2 linked regions of the Rhinolophus ferrumequinum genome follow. The protein of the gene in region 2 interacts with the protein of the main gene of each other region in a pairwise test. Links are inferred from orthologs where the notes say so. Each region holds a gene or a part of one and is shown on either strand. Other genes may lie near its edges.

Region 1 (7,414 bases), on a different chromosome or scaffold from region 2:
CTAGGTAGGAACTCTGGGAGTCCCATTGTACAGAGGGGAAACTGAGGCACGGAGCAGAGTCAGAATTTGGCCTTCAGACTTCAGAGATCTGCACTCTAAACCTTTAGGTTCAGGTTGTCCAGTCCCTGCCCCTGATCTGTTCCCCTGAAGACTCAGGATAGAGAGCCAGCTTCTCATTCAGGGGACAGTGTGGGAGGGAAACTCACCATTTTTGTCCGCACGACGGAAAATCTGCAGAGAAGAGAAGTCGGTCAAGGCGGCCCTGGGCCAGGGAGCAGGCGCCTGCAGCAGATCCTGACCTGATACTGAGATCCCACTCCCCCCAGGTGGGCCTGGGAAGCAGAGCTCCCTCCTTCTTCCTTCCCAGGGAGGAGACCCCCATCTGGCTGGGATCCAGGGGTGAGGAAGGGATGTTTCAGGCAGAGGCGCTCCTAGCCACCCTCATGGAAAGAGCCACCCTCACGGAAACAGCCGCCCACTCTCCCTTCTGTGCCGCCAGCCTGCCCACAGCCATGCCGACAGACACATGCACACGCATGTGGACACTCGCTCACATCCATCCACATGCTTGCTCCCAGAATCATTGGTTCCACATGCTCCCAGAGCCATCGGTTCACGCGCTTCACCCAGTCGTACGCTCAGTGACGCACTCCGAATTTGTGTCCCGTGGACACAGCCATATGCCTTACACCACTGCACCCCTCCCAGAACCCCTTGAGGGCCCTGGTTTTCTGTAGGGAGATCGGGTTAAGTCTGAATGGAGGTGTCTGCTAAGGGAATCTGGAGGTTTGGCAACTGGACCAGCCATGGGCAGGATTCGATTTTTTAGGGGGTGAGGGAATGGGAAGAAGCAGGTCTCCAGGAGCTCAGAAAACCAGGCAGGGATGGGGGAAGGACAGCCACTGCCCCTACTCCCCAACCCTAGCCTGAGCTTAGAGACCAGATAACTCCCCCTCCTGGTATTCTGGGATTCCGTAAGCCTTGCTGATAGGAGACGGGGAGACACCACCACCTCTGACCATCCCACCTTTGGTCTGTCCCTGGGGTAAAGGACAGATACCCCCCCACCCCATCCCTTCAAGCAATGGTGCGGGCATCCATTATCAGGCACCAGGGGCTGTGACAAACCAAAGCAGCAGCTCAGGAGGCCTTCTTAGACATCACCCCCTTCCTTAGCTGAACCCGGGGGTTGGGGTACTAGGCAGGAGCCTCTGTGGCTGGGGCAGAAAGGGGAGCAGTTATCAGAGCACCCTAGGACCTCCTCAAAGCCCCCGTCTAGGCACCCCACCCTCAGGTGTGAGCTCTGGGCCTGTGAATAACGTGACCACATGTATGGCTCTAGGAGTCTGCGTGAGCACTGTGAGTCCCCATCTCGGCTCGTCACCCCATTTCACAGATGAGGTAATGGAGGCTCAGAGCCCTCACATGGCACGCTAGGAACCTGGAGCCCACCTCCTGTACTGTTAGAGGAGAGAATCAGGAGGGGTCTGGATGGGGGTTCCCTACAACGGCAGGCCTAGGTCTGCAGACCCCATGGGCCCAGGGCTTTCAGCGGTGAACTCTGCTTGCTAGGGTCTTGAGAGAGAGAGTCCATTGTGTGTTGGGCTGTGTATGCACGAGTGTGTGTTTGGAGGCACCAGAACCTGAAACACACCCAGCACAGCTCCACCTTCTCTACCCATTGCTCTCTGCCCAAAGCCAGCTATGGGTTCCAGGAGAGAAGGGAAGGAGAGAGAGGTAATCCAAGCTCCCCCACACTTACAGGGATGTGCTGTACACGTACACACACACACACACACACACACACACACACACACACTCCCCTCCCAGAAAGCCATCATGAACATTCTAGGCACCCCCATCTCCTCGCCACCCACCACACTGGGACATGCACATCCCACCACCATGCTGTCATGGGGCAGGGGGAGGAGAGAAAGCCCCTCCACCGCCTAGCACTCCACCGGAGTCCCCCACACCCTGCAATCCACCAGGGAAATCTCCCTCCCATTTGGGGAGTGGGTGGGAGGGTGAGGTGGGCTTCCCAGAGGTGGGCAGTTTGGTTTCCAGAGAGGATGAGGGAGGGGGTGAGTAGAGAGGGTGGAGGTGGGGAAGGGAATGGAGGACAGAGGGGGCTCAGAATGGAGTGGGGGTGGTGAAGGGGAACCTAGGGGTCCAGGCTCAGGGCGGATGGGGGTGGTTCCAACACTCTGGAAACGAGAAGGAAAGACAGAGGTGGGGAGGGGACTTCACTTTCAAAGGGGGGGGCAGGGAGAATAGGTCTTTGATTAGGGATGAGACTACAAGGGTTCAGAGTCTAGCGAGGAAGGGGAAGGTGGTCTCTGAAAAGTAGCAACTCAGCAGGGACCTGGGAAGGAGAGGCTCAGGGGGCTGGAGGCAGTCAGGGGCTCTCGTCCTGGGAAGGGATGAGGGGAAAAGGGTAGGTGCAGGGCTGGGGCAAGATGAGGGTCGGACCAGGACAAAAGTAGGGGGCGGTGGCCGGCCAAGGGGTCTCCAGAATCCCGGCTCCGAGAAGGTGGAGGAAGGAGTGGGGGTCGTCTTGGTCCGGGAATGAGACTGGCCGGGACGTGGGAAGGCTTGGGGCTCGCGTTCTGGGACTTAAGAGAGGCCGGGTGCGGTTCCAGCTCCGAGCTGCCCAGAGGGATGCGTCGGGGGTCCCCTGCTCGGGGTGGGGTGGGGTCCTCGCGGGTTCCGGCGGGAACGAGGTAGGGCGGCGTCGGGGTTCCCCGTGGGAGGAGGGGGCTTGGGGTCCCGGCGGGCGCGTACTCACGTCCAGGATGACAGCAGTGCCCCCGCGCAGCGAGGCGGGGCCGGGACAGGGGCCAGGGTCCACGGCGGGGGCGGCGGGGACGTCGGGGGCCAGCGGCGCCCGGGGCTCGCCCATTCTGGCGCCTACCCAGCGCAGCAGCCCGCCCAGCGCCCGGCCCTGCGGCGGCGGCTCCCGGAGCAGCCTGTGCGCGCCGGCCCTGCACAGGCGCGCCGCCCGCTCGCACATCGCGCCGCACCCGCCACCGCCACCGCCGCCCGGAAGCCCGCCGACCCCCGCCCGTCCGCCCCCGCGCGACCCCTCCCCGGCGCCGCTGCCCGCGCCGCCCCGCCCTCCCTCCCTCTGCCCCCGCGGCCGCGGCCACGGAGGAGACGGGCCGGCGCCGGGGGACCGGTCGCGGGGGAGGGGGGGTGCGCTCCGCCCGGACCCCGAGCCACGTGCTCCGTGTCCACCGCACCCCCCCCGCCCCCTACCGCGGCTGAGAGCGGCAGCAGGAGGCTGCCCGCGGGGGCGCAGATTTGGGGTCTAGACCCCGGCCAGGGAGGGGCTGCCCAGTAGACACGGGGTTGGTGGGAGGGTCTGCCTGCCGGGGGGCGTCCCTGGGGGCTTCCCCCACGAAAGTCTCCCGCTGCCCCCACCTAAAATCACCCCACCTGACCCGCGGCACCGCCGCAGGGGCCAGAGCGCAATGTCCAGCGAGCTCGGAGCTCCCTCTGCCGGCTCCAGCTCGGGTGATCCGTGCCCGTGCGATGGGCTTCCACCACAATTCCCACGGGCACCCATCCTTCCCTCCTGCGGGCGTTACGCCCCCTCAGACCTTCCCTCCCATTACACAACGCCCAGAACCAGTCTTCGCCCCAGAACTCCCCCTTCCCCACACACTCCAACAGATTAGTTAAGGCGCGCAGTTAGGTGCTAGGCTCTGGGTCCCAATAATGGGCAAAACAGACAGGGTCCTTGGCCTCTTGGAGCTTACAGCCCAATGGGTAGAGCTAGATACAGATTCCACAAATAAATGAATCATTAAAACCGAACTGCTATGAAGAGATGACACCTTGGGCCATGAGCTGGTAATTTGCCCTGGTGCCTAAGGAGGGGTTTGTGTCAGAAGACGCTTCCTGGGGGAAGTAACTCTTATGCTGAGAGAGTGGAAGAAAGGGGAAGAGTTAAAGAGAGGAGGGAAAAGTGGGCTAGAGACCTGATTGTGCAAAGGCCCTGTGGCAGGTGAAGCATGAGCATGAGGGGCTAAGACAACGTGTTGCAAGGGAGAATGGGAGGGGGCTTGGAAAGCCTCCTCAGCACTTCATTCCTCATACACACGCTCCCCTCACTTCTCTAGCATACCGTGTTTCCCGGGAAATAAGACCTAGCCGGACAATCAGCTCTAATGCGTCTTTTGGAGCAAAAATTAATATAAGACCCGGTCTTATTTTACTATAAGACGGGATCTTATATAATATAAATAATATAATACTGGATCTTACATTAATTTTTGCTCCAAAAGACGCATAAGAGCTGATTGTCCGGCTAGGTCTTATTTTCAGGGAAACGGCAGCTGCCTTCTCATTTGCCACACTTGGAGCATCATCGGTTGTCCCCCAAGCCCCACCCCAAGGACCTCCTCCCACCTGGCCCTGTGCTTCTGCCTGGCTCCTAGAACAGGCTCCTGGGCAGTCGGTCCCTCCCCAAGCACAGAATCCTCAGACACGTGAGTGGAGGCAGGCACTGATTTTATTTGGGACCTGATTCTAGAAGGAGTGGGGCCTGGAGTCCTCCTGGCTCAGCGCTCAGCTGGCCCTGGTCATCCCTGCTCACACTGGCAGCTTTCACCCCAAATCGCAGGTCTGGGCCTTTGCTGACCTGCAGCCACTGTTCCCAGCCTGGGCACTGGTCTGAGTCTGGGTAGCCTTGGCTCCCACTCCTCTATCCGAGAAGCCTGTTGCATGGGCTCATGGCCACTCCTGTCTCCTGCCAGGAGAGGCTCCCTTCCCTCACTGGGGCATCTTGTGTCCAGCAGGGCTGTGATGATCTCCCCTTCTCTTTAGGGTCTGGGTACGAGGATGCCAGGCCAAGGGCTAGGGCGGCTTCCTAGCCTCCTTCCTCAGCAGGGAGCTGGCCACAGCTAGGGCCCCGCCCTGCACAAACCGCACAAAGTTGTCCCCAGCCAGCGGCCCCACTGCGTACAGATCCTCCTGCTGTGTGCTCTGGTAGGTGAAGGGGTCTACGTCAATGGGGTTCCTCTTGGCGCTCAGTGGCTGGCTGGGGTCCATGGCGAGGTCAGCACCTGCCCCCGGGAGGAAGGAGAGGTCCGGGTGGGAGCCGATGAGGACTAGCACTAGGGAGACGCCGAAGACCTTCTGGAGGCCTGTGGGGTCCTGGAACATGGCCTGGCGGTCCTCCTTGAAGAGGACAGGCTGGTGCTCAGGGAGGCTGCGGTAGCCCTCGTAGGGGCTGGGCGACAGGATGGACTGCTCCCGCATCATCTGGTGGACCTTGTGGTACTCGGGGTACAGCATCTTGGGCAGCTGGTTGAAGACCAGGCCGGGGTCATCCACGGTCCGGCGGAAGGCGTGGATCACGGGGATGTTGTAATGGCGGGCGTAGAGGACCGCGTCTGCCGCTGACAGCCCCGCGCCGATGATGAGGACGGGGTCCGAGGCCGGGCTCACTGTGCCTGCTCTTGTGGCCGCCTCCAGGGCTGACAGCTCATGGTGGATGAAGGGCAGGGTCTCCCCAGGGATGCCCAGCCGCGCCGGGCTGTCGGATGTGCCGGTGGCCAGGACCACATTGTGGGCATACAGGGAAAAGGGCTGCTGGCACTGGTCCTCGGTGGTCAGGAAACCGCTCACCTGGAAGAGCGGCCTGGGGTCCTGGGCCCCAGAGCTGCTGGGCTCGGGCGTCCCCCATTCCACATTCGTGACCACTGCGCCGGACACGAAGTTGTGGCCCAAGCCCTTCTTGGTCACATAATCCCTGTAGTAGTGAGCAATGTCACCAGCTGTGGCCCGGCTGTTTCGGAGACCTCTGGGGGAAGGATGCAAAAAGGGCAGGTGTCAGATAGCGGCTGGGGTGGCGGGTCAATCAGGGGGGACAGGGGGTGACCAGGTTGGAGTCAGGCCCTGGAGCCCACGATGACTGTGCACCCAGCAGCCGTAAGAGTTGGCCAAGTGGTTTAACCTTCTCAGAAGGTGAAGTCTTCTCTTCTGTAAAATGGAGCTGATAATGGTATCTTATGGGGGAGGGGGTGTTGAGAGTGGGGCCTCCAGAGGCCGATGGCCTGGGTTCAAATCCTGACTCTGCCACTGGTGAGCTGTTTCCTGAAACTCTCTGCCTCAGTTTCCTCACTTGCAAAATGAGGATGACGATGGTGATGTACCTATGCTGTGTGGTTGCTGAGAGAATTAGGTGATGATGTAAACGAAGCTTAGAATAGAACCTGACAGGCCGTATGGGCCCGGCCACTATTACCCCGAAGGATTCAATAATAACATACATCACGATGGTGGGATCGTCCTTTTATAATGTTCAGAAACAGGCAAAACTGACCTGTGGAATTAGAGGTCAAGAAAGTGGTTGCCTCTTGGGAGGAGAAGGGGGTGGGGATTAGGAGGGGTCTGAGGGGGCTCCTGAGGAGACGTGATGGATTTCTTGAGTCTGGGTGGCTGGACGCAGATGGGTTCACTTTGAGAAATTTCATCCACCCGTACACATGTGATTTATCTGTACGTATGATATATTTCAGTAAAAGAGTTGATAAGAAAGAACCCATGTAAAGCACTTAGCACAGTCCCAGCACACACAGTAACAGCAGGAACTATTTTATTATTAATATTATTATTATTATTATTATTAATATTAATATTTTCACCACCCTTTCCGAGGCAGTGACTGTGGGCCAGTGCTGCTGATGACTCAGGTGAAAGCTGTGTGACTCCCTGTATCTACCTGTGTGACCGTAGGTGAGTCACTTTCCCTAACGGTGAACGTACTGTTAGAGATGAACTCACTGAAAGGGAATCCTAAGTGACACGCCAGCACGACCCATCGGCCAATGGTAGGGTGAACTCAGATCACATCCGCCAGCCAGCCCAACTCATTCGTCTGCTACAGAAACTGGAACTCTGGAATTTATTTCTGTGGGTTTCTCATGTCACCTTCTCTGTTTTAGTACAAATTGTTTTAAAGGATTGCCCTAAGATGTTACACATGGGGTTACTCCTAGAAACGGTGCATTGGAAAGAATGAAAGCTCCAGGCCTGGGCAGAGGCTTAGGGACTGTGGCAGCCCCTCAGGGGCAGGGCGCACATCTGTCTAATTTTTGGTTCCAACATCTAAGTACAAAGACCTGCAACGCAGATGCTCACCCTCCCTGGGGCATATTACATGGCCGTGTAAAAGGATGGTTGCAAACCCTGCGTAATCACCAAGTGAAATGCTATGACATAATGTTGAGTATTAAAAGAAGGATATGGAAGGGTATGTCTACAAGTGAAATTTAATTTCCTGTCTGTCTGGTAACGCATCACTATGTGTTGGATGCTTTCCTACCAAATGTGCAGGGACAGAAGTCTTTGTGTAAAAGAGATAGACAGTGATTCCTGAAGAGGTGGAAACTGAGTTGTCCTGAGA
Region 2 (7,105 bases):
TGAAAACAGTATCTCAGTGGAGATTTAAATGCTTGTCTTTTAGTGAGTTGAGCATCTTTTCATTCATTTACCAGCCATTCCTATGTTCTTTCTCGTAAAATTTCTGTAGTATCTTTTGTCCATTTTTCCAGAGAGATGCTATTTTTCTAAAAAATAATATTTTCATTGTGAAGTATCCATACAGAAAAATATACAAAAGTTTTTGTATGTTTTGCTAAACAGTTATAGAGCAAATACCTGTGTACCCATCACCTGATCAAAAAGTAGAACACTGAAAGGAAAAGGAATTCTGGATTGCCTTAGGAACTCTGGAACTGCCTGTTCCTAAGAAAAACCTCCACCCTCCACACTCAATCAAACAACACTCCCTCTGCCCCCGTTAGCCAGCCTGACTTTCATTATTGTGTTCATTTCCTTCCTTTTCTTTATAATTATACCACCTATCTATGCATCCCTATGCAATATAGTTCAGTTTTGCCTGCTTTTAAACTTTATATAAATGGAATCATACTTTGTATATTTTTTTGTATCTTGCTTTTTTGTGTGTGTTTAATATTACCTTTGTGAATATTTATTCATATTGTTGAACATAACCATAGTTTATTAATTTTCGTTGTCTGAATATACCACAATTTAACCATTTTATGCTTGATAAACATTTGGGAGGTTTCCAGTGTGGGGTGCTGAGGAACAAAGCTGCTATGAATATTCTTGTACAGTGATCCTGACATTTACAATTCTGCATTTCTTTATAATACATATAATACTGTGACTGCTGGGACACAGTATACATAGCTTCAATTTTATTAGATTTTATCAGAGTCTTTTTCTAAAATGGCTGTGCCAGTTTACACTCCCACCAGCAGGGTAAGGATGAAGATGGCTGGTATTTATTTATTGATTTGTAAGAGGTCTTTATAGACAGTATCATAGAAATTAGCCCTTTGTAATAGGAGTAGCAAATTGTTCCCCCCCCAAGTTTAGTCTCTTTAAAAAGGCACTGATGTTCTTCCAACCCCCCCTAGAGGAATGAAAATGTAACTGGAAGAAGTGGAGTATTCTAATTTTGAAGCATTTAAATGAAAAAATGTTCTGGGTTAACCACTTTATCACTCTTAATGTGCAATCGTATATGTCATCCGTACAAATAATCATACCGGAAATTTTTATGGAATGCTCTGGAATACAAGATGTCAATATAATAATAATGATAGTTAAAAACTGTTGACCTTGTATTAGGCACTGTTTTAAATCCATTATATATATTAACTAATTTAATCCTTACAATAACCCTAGGAGGTGGGTACTATATTTTGCTCCATTTTACAGATACATGAAATAAGGAGCTGGATTAAAGATGTTTTCTAGGGCATATTTAAGCAAAATTAATAAACTCAGAAAAGATTCTTTCTTAACTAATAAAGATGTTTTCTTTTTATAATTTCTTTTTCCTCTTGGGAATGAATGATACGCCATCTGGGTTTCTTTTCCCCATCTCAGATCTGCAATATACCCCATAGCTTTCTCTTTTTTCTTTGAAGAAAGACAAAATGTATATATCGTTCTTCCAATCTTTACTCACAATTCCTTGTTCTTTGTGTCACAGGGACGTCAGAAATCTGCAGGTAGCACTAGGAACCAGAGAGTGTTTGGAGCAAGTGGAAAACGGAAAGAGAGAGACGGAGATAAGGGGTGAAGGACAGGGCCACAAGCCTGGCATGGGTGTGTGAAGGGTGGGAAGGATGCTTTCTTTATGGTGGGGTTTCTTAACCTGCAGTCCACAGATTAAGAAATCCATGAATTTAGATCAGGGAAAGTGATGTGCCTTTATTTTTGCTAAAATGTTAACAGAAAACTAGCATTTCCTTCAGTTATGAATGGAGACGACAAACCAAGTCGTATTAGCAGTGTCTGTGATTTTGTCACCGGTAGAAATCACAAATATTTTCCTAATAATATGACAGCTGTCACAGCGATCTTGAAATATTATTTATGCTCATTTACTACCTGAAAATTATGGTGGTCATTAGGTCTGCCATTAGATCTTATTATTTAATACATTAATATAAAGCCCAGATATTACTATATCACACCTTTCAAAATATTTTGAAAATTGTATTTTAATGTCATTGCTTTCCTTTAAATTCCTCTGTATGTTGATTACACATAAAAAGTATTCTGAGAAGAGGTCCATATGTTTCACCAGACTGCCAAAGGGTCCGTGGTGTGAAAAAGTTAAGAACTCTGCTTTATGGATATTTTGACTTTCATTCTTATTGAATGAGCCTTTAGAGAGTCCCAGAAATGAATCTCAAGACCGGTGAGGCTGTCATAGTTTTATTATTCTATTTTTCCAGAGACACTTCCCCCCATAACTTTCATGCCTCTTCAATATTCTGTTTTTCTTACCTCACTGCCCCTCTTTCTGTTCTTTTCATTATCCTGTGGGTGCCTTTTTACACTTCTATGGGTAGTTTATCCTTCAGCATATCATCAATCAACATATTTAGGTAGAGAACTCCAAACCTTCCCTAGTCCAGATTGTCCACCCTCTCCCAAATTCCGTATTTCCAGTTGCCTCTGGGACACCTCCACTTAGTTTTACCACTACTGTTTGGAACTGAACATATTAAAAACTAAGATTTCTCCCAAAATTTGCATGCTGTCCCACTTTGCCTGGATGACCATCTTGTCTGTCCCCCTGGTTTTCTGACCTTAGATTTATTTTAAAATTTAAATAAATTACTTAAACAAAACAAAACAAAACCCTGGAATCTTTGTAAATGGCACAAAAATCAAAAGATACAAAAAGATGTACAATGAAATGTAAGTCTTGCTTCCACCTGGTCCCCTAGGCACTCAGTTATCAGCCCAGGTGGAAAGCACTTTGAGTCATTTTGATTCCTTATTATATTGGTTATATCTCAAGTCCTTCCCGTTTGTGAGATGTGTGCCCTTTCCTCTCCAGGCTCTTGTGACCTTATATCTGGTTGACTTTATACATATATGTATGTGTATATTTTATATTCATATATAAAATCTCTCCTATGGCCTTCCGGCCTCGAGTTTTCATCACGTCGCTTCCTGGATGAAGAACCTACAGGGGTGAGGGGCCGGGGTTGGGGGTGATGGAGAAGAGGATCCAAAGGGGACTTAGGTAGGGGGTTCGGAGTGGCTGACTGGTGGGAAGCTCTGCCAGGATTCCTATTTCTATCTTTCCCACCGCGGGCCCCCTTCCAGTCGCCTTGTCCAAATGTCTCTCATTTCCAAGAGCCAAGACAGAGACAGCGAGATACAGAGACAGAGACGCCGAGGCACCAGCATCCCTCTCCCCTCCTGTCCCGCCCCACCGCTCTGACGGACACCCGCCATTAGCCAATGGCGCTCACGATGTGCCCCGGAAGGACCAATGAGAGACAGAGGAGGGCAGAAGATTCCCCGCCTCCACTTCTAGGCTTGGTTGAGCCGTGCAGGTAGGTCCGGGGCCGGGGGAGCAGCCGTTGGCACTGGTGCCGCGGGGGTAGGGGGCACGAGTCGTTAGGGGTGATGGTGGGAAAGGGGATGTGGTCCTATCCGCGGGAGTTTGAGGGGGTGGCCCAGGCGGGAGGCGGGGGGCCGGCGGGCCCGGGGAGCGGGCGCCGCCGAGGGCCCTGGAAGCGGCTGGACTTGGGGGAGCGGGGACGCGTGTGTGAGGCACAGGGACCCCCGCCCCGCGCCCACTCGCAGGCCTGGGCCGCGGGCTGCCGGCCGAGGGGCTGGGGGCCTGGTGCCCGGGGGCGGACCGGGGCTGGGCCTGGGGCCGGGGGCGCCGAGCAGAGCCCGGGGCGCCAGGCCGAGCCGAGGTGGGACGGACCGACGCGGAGAGGAAGGGAAGCTGCATCCCGCGGGCCGCCCCTCCTGAAGCGAGCCGGGGCAACGGCCGCAGGCTCCCCTGCCCGGAGCCCACTTCCCCATTCGCCCCCTCCCTGACAATGGGGATGGGACAGAAGGAGTCGCCCCACTGCGGGAAGCTGGCGGGGGGTGTAGGTTTGGGACTAGGGTCCAAGGTGGGGGGAGGGGTGAGAACTCGGGCTCTCTCCCCTTTCTCTTCTTCCCATGTCTTTTGCGGTGGGGATCATGGAGGGTCTATTAAATCCTCCTGAGACTTGGGTCAAGAGTCAAACTCCCCCGTCCCCCCCCAAAAAAAATCCGATGAGCGGTAAGGAAAGTGATGCCAAGTCTTCGAAGCCCAAGTGACAAACGCATAGCAGGAACAAATCTACTCCAGAGGTTTTTATTTAAAATTTTTTTTTCCAAAATGAGGGTATTGTAATTTTTGATTTTTTGAAATTTATTTTACAGAGGTGGGTGCTGTTATTCTTGTCCCTACTCGGGCAAGCCTCCATTTTAAGCGAAGCAGTAACTGGTTAAGCTGGAATTTTCATTCAGGCCTAGGACTTGAACAAGGTTCCTAGGAGAGGTCATTTAATCCATCCTCCTGCCTCCAGGCAAACTTGCCTCTCTCCTTCCTCAAAATTAAGTTGTTTGGTCTGCTTTTAACGATCTCTAGAGAAGAAGGCTCTTTTATTTGCTTGTAGCACTTCAGTCAAGAATGGATTTTATTTTTTATGTAGATAGGTCCTGAAACTTAATAAAATTTAGGACAGTGAGAATGATCAGAGAGGTTTTTATTAAATAAAATTAAATGTGACAAGGGTCTTTTTTAGATGGTCCGTTAAATCACTTTTCAGTAGTGTTTATGAAGTACCCTGAAGAATCATTTTTCTACCTGGGATTTTGGTTTTCTAACTATTTGATAAGCAATTTTATATTATAGAAAACATGTATTACACAGTTAATTCACTTTTTATGTAAACTATATTTCTACATGATATGGATATACACATACATACATTTGCCTCTTTCTAAAGGGGACTGTGTTTTGTACATCTTTTTAGGATGGTGAAGCAAATAGTACTTCAAATCTCTGTCCAGATACTCAAACTATTTGCTTATTCTTGATTATTTTTTAGTCTAAATGAAAGTCCTCTCTTTCAGATACCTTCTTGAAACAAAAAAATTTCCTACCTGCTCATACTTGGTGACTGAGGGATTACTAAGACTCCCTGCTTGCTCATTTCTGAGAATTGTCTGAACTATTCCTGACACTATGAATGCTATGTGGATGCCTCCTAAGGTAAGATGTGTTATTTTTTTTTTTCAATTAAAGGCCTCATTTTATTTTTCTTTAGAATTGAGAATATTCTCGAATTTGCAATTCTTCAACCTATTACCTGACCCTCCTTTCCCCTCAAAAACTACTCTTATGGTTGCTTCCTAGGACTCGTTGGTTACTCTTTACTTTGTATTGCTACTGTTCTTAATTGTTGGTGTTAAAATATGAATGAAGTTCTCAAGTTAACTTTCATTATAATGATGTGTTAATTTTCTAACTTTAAATTATGACAACCCACATAGCTGTAAAATTATCCTATCTCAGTAGGATGGATTGGCACTTCAGCCATCCAGGTCCATTTTCAACAGGTAGTCATAGGTAGTAGGGTGTGTCCCACTTGCAAATCTGTAGCTGATTCATGAATTACAAGTGATGTGTCATTAACCATTTGTTTACTCTGAAACTTCATGTAGAATTTTCTGAGGCCTGTTGGTTTGCGTGTACGACTCCACTGGAGAGTCCTGCTGCTTCCTAGTCATTTGCATAGGAATTAACACTTTTTCTGCACAGGTAGCGCTTTGTGCCAAGTTTCATTTCACAGGATAAACCTCTGTTGGGCAATGTGGGCTGATGATCTTTAGATGAAAAAGCTCTTATTAATGTGGTTCTCAAGTCCCTTCACTCCTTCCAATTTCTTGTACATAGATGGCCAAAGGACACTTCGTTTGTACTAAGTAAAGGGCAAAGCTTAAGACATTTGTAGGGAGGAAAATGAGAGGAAGGATGGACAGAGAAAGATGAGGGGTGATGGAAGCCCTCACCAGTTTCGCCAGGTGGCTCAGGTTGCCTTCCTTTGGAGCTAGATATTAGTGTATTTAAGACCGTTGTGTGGTCATCTGCCCTGTGGAATGCCAATTTAATGCAACGAATAAATCAGAATAATGTAACCTAAATATTTGGACTGTTGGAAATCTTTAGGTAAATGTAGACTGAGTTCTCTTCTTAGTTTATATTCCAGCTGTTGTTGTTGCTTACATTATGTGTAAAAGAAGTCAAAGTGATAGTTTACCAGCCATTCTCCGTGTAGAGTTGGAGGGGTTGTATGGGGAACCCACCCAGAAGTCCTGAACACTTAGGAATTGGAAAACCTTATATAAGAGTGTTTCTCTTTGGTACCAAGTGTTTAGCGCCAGGACCTGGTGACCTCTGTTATCTTTAGGAAGCAGGCAAGGGGATATCAGCAGGCCCTAGGTCCCCAGAAACCCAAGGAAATTAGGATCCATATATTGAATTTTGTTTTACCATTACCCTGGTTTTAACTAATGTATTAGGTACATAGAGCCTCCTTCTTAAGATATATATGATGTTTAAGATTTTACCAGTAAATCTCTGAACTTGGGGTGTTATGTGGTTGACTGTTGAACAACCCCAGGGATCAGGGGTGCCGACCCCCCGCCCCCACACACACACAGTCAAAAATAAGGAATAACTTTTGACTCCCCCAAAACTTAACTTCTAATAGCTTACTGTTGACCGGAAGCTCAACCAATAACATAAACAGTTGGTTATCACATGTTATGATACATGTATTCTTAGAGTATGTTATACTGTATTCTTAGAATAAAGTAAGCTAGAGAAGAAAATTTATTAAGAAAATCTTAAGGAAGAGAAATGCGTTTACTGTATTGAAAAAAATCCGCACAGTTCAAACTCATTGTTCAAAGGTCAACTATAGTTCCACAATAACCCCTGAAGTTGTACCAAAGACCTCTGGGATGGCAGGAGTACAGAGCTTCCTACTATATGAGTTACCTACCACCTGTTAACTACTTAAGAATGTAGTTATGTGGCTGCCTTAATTTTATGTTTCCTACCAGTTCTTTGATCAGTGGAAGATCTCTTCTGAATCTGAGCAGATTTTTTATTTGCTAACATTTTCCTCCTCCTTTT

What was found.
Region 1: the proteins of KANSL1 (region 2) and NECAB2 interact in binary tests that used the Homo sapiens proteins (3 or more experiments, as listed by UniProt). The two-hybrid records come from large-scale screens. The link is inferred for Rhinolophus ferrumequinum from reciprocal best matches to the Homo sapiens genes KANSL1 and NECAB2.

Annotation. Positions count from the first base shown.
Region 1 is NC_046298.1:29,518,188-29,525,601, reverse strand, and holds the start of NECAB2 (N-terminal EF-hand calcium-binding protein 2), read right to left. Parts: upstream 3,014-7,414; coding exon 2,789-3,013; intron 232-2,788; coding exon 207-231; intron 93-206; exon of another isoform or gene 1-92. Other genes in the region: OSGIN1 (oxidative stress-induced growth inhibitor 1), read right to left, coding at 4,861-5,809. UniProt on the Homo sapiens protein: May act as a signaling scaffold protein that senses intracellular calcium.
Region 2 is NC_046304.1:41,156,019-41,163,123, reverse strand, and holds the start of KANSL1 (KAT8 regulatory NSL complex subunit 1), read left to right. Parts: upstream 1-4,104; 5' UTR 4,105-4,269; intron 4,270-4,902; exon of another isoform or gene 4,903-5,037; 5' UTR 5,038-5,176; intron 5,177-7,105. UniProt on the Homo sapiens protein: Non-catalytic component of the NSL histone acetyltransferase complex, a multiprotein complex that mediates histone H4 acetylation at 'Lys-5'- and 'Lys-8' (H4K5ac and H4K8ac) at transcription start sites and promotes transcription initiation.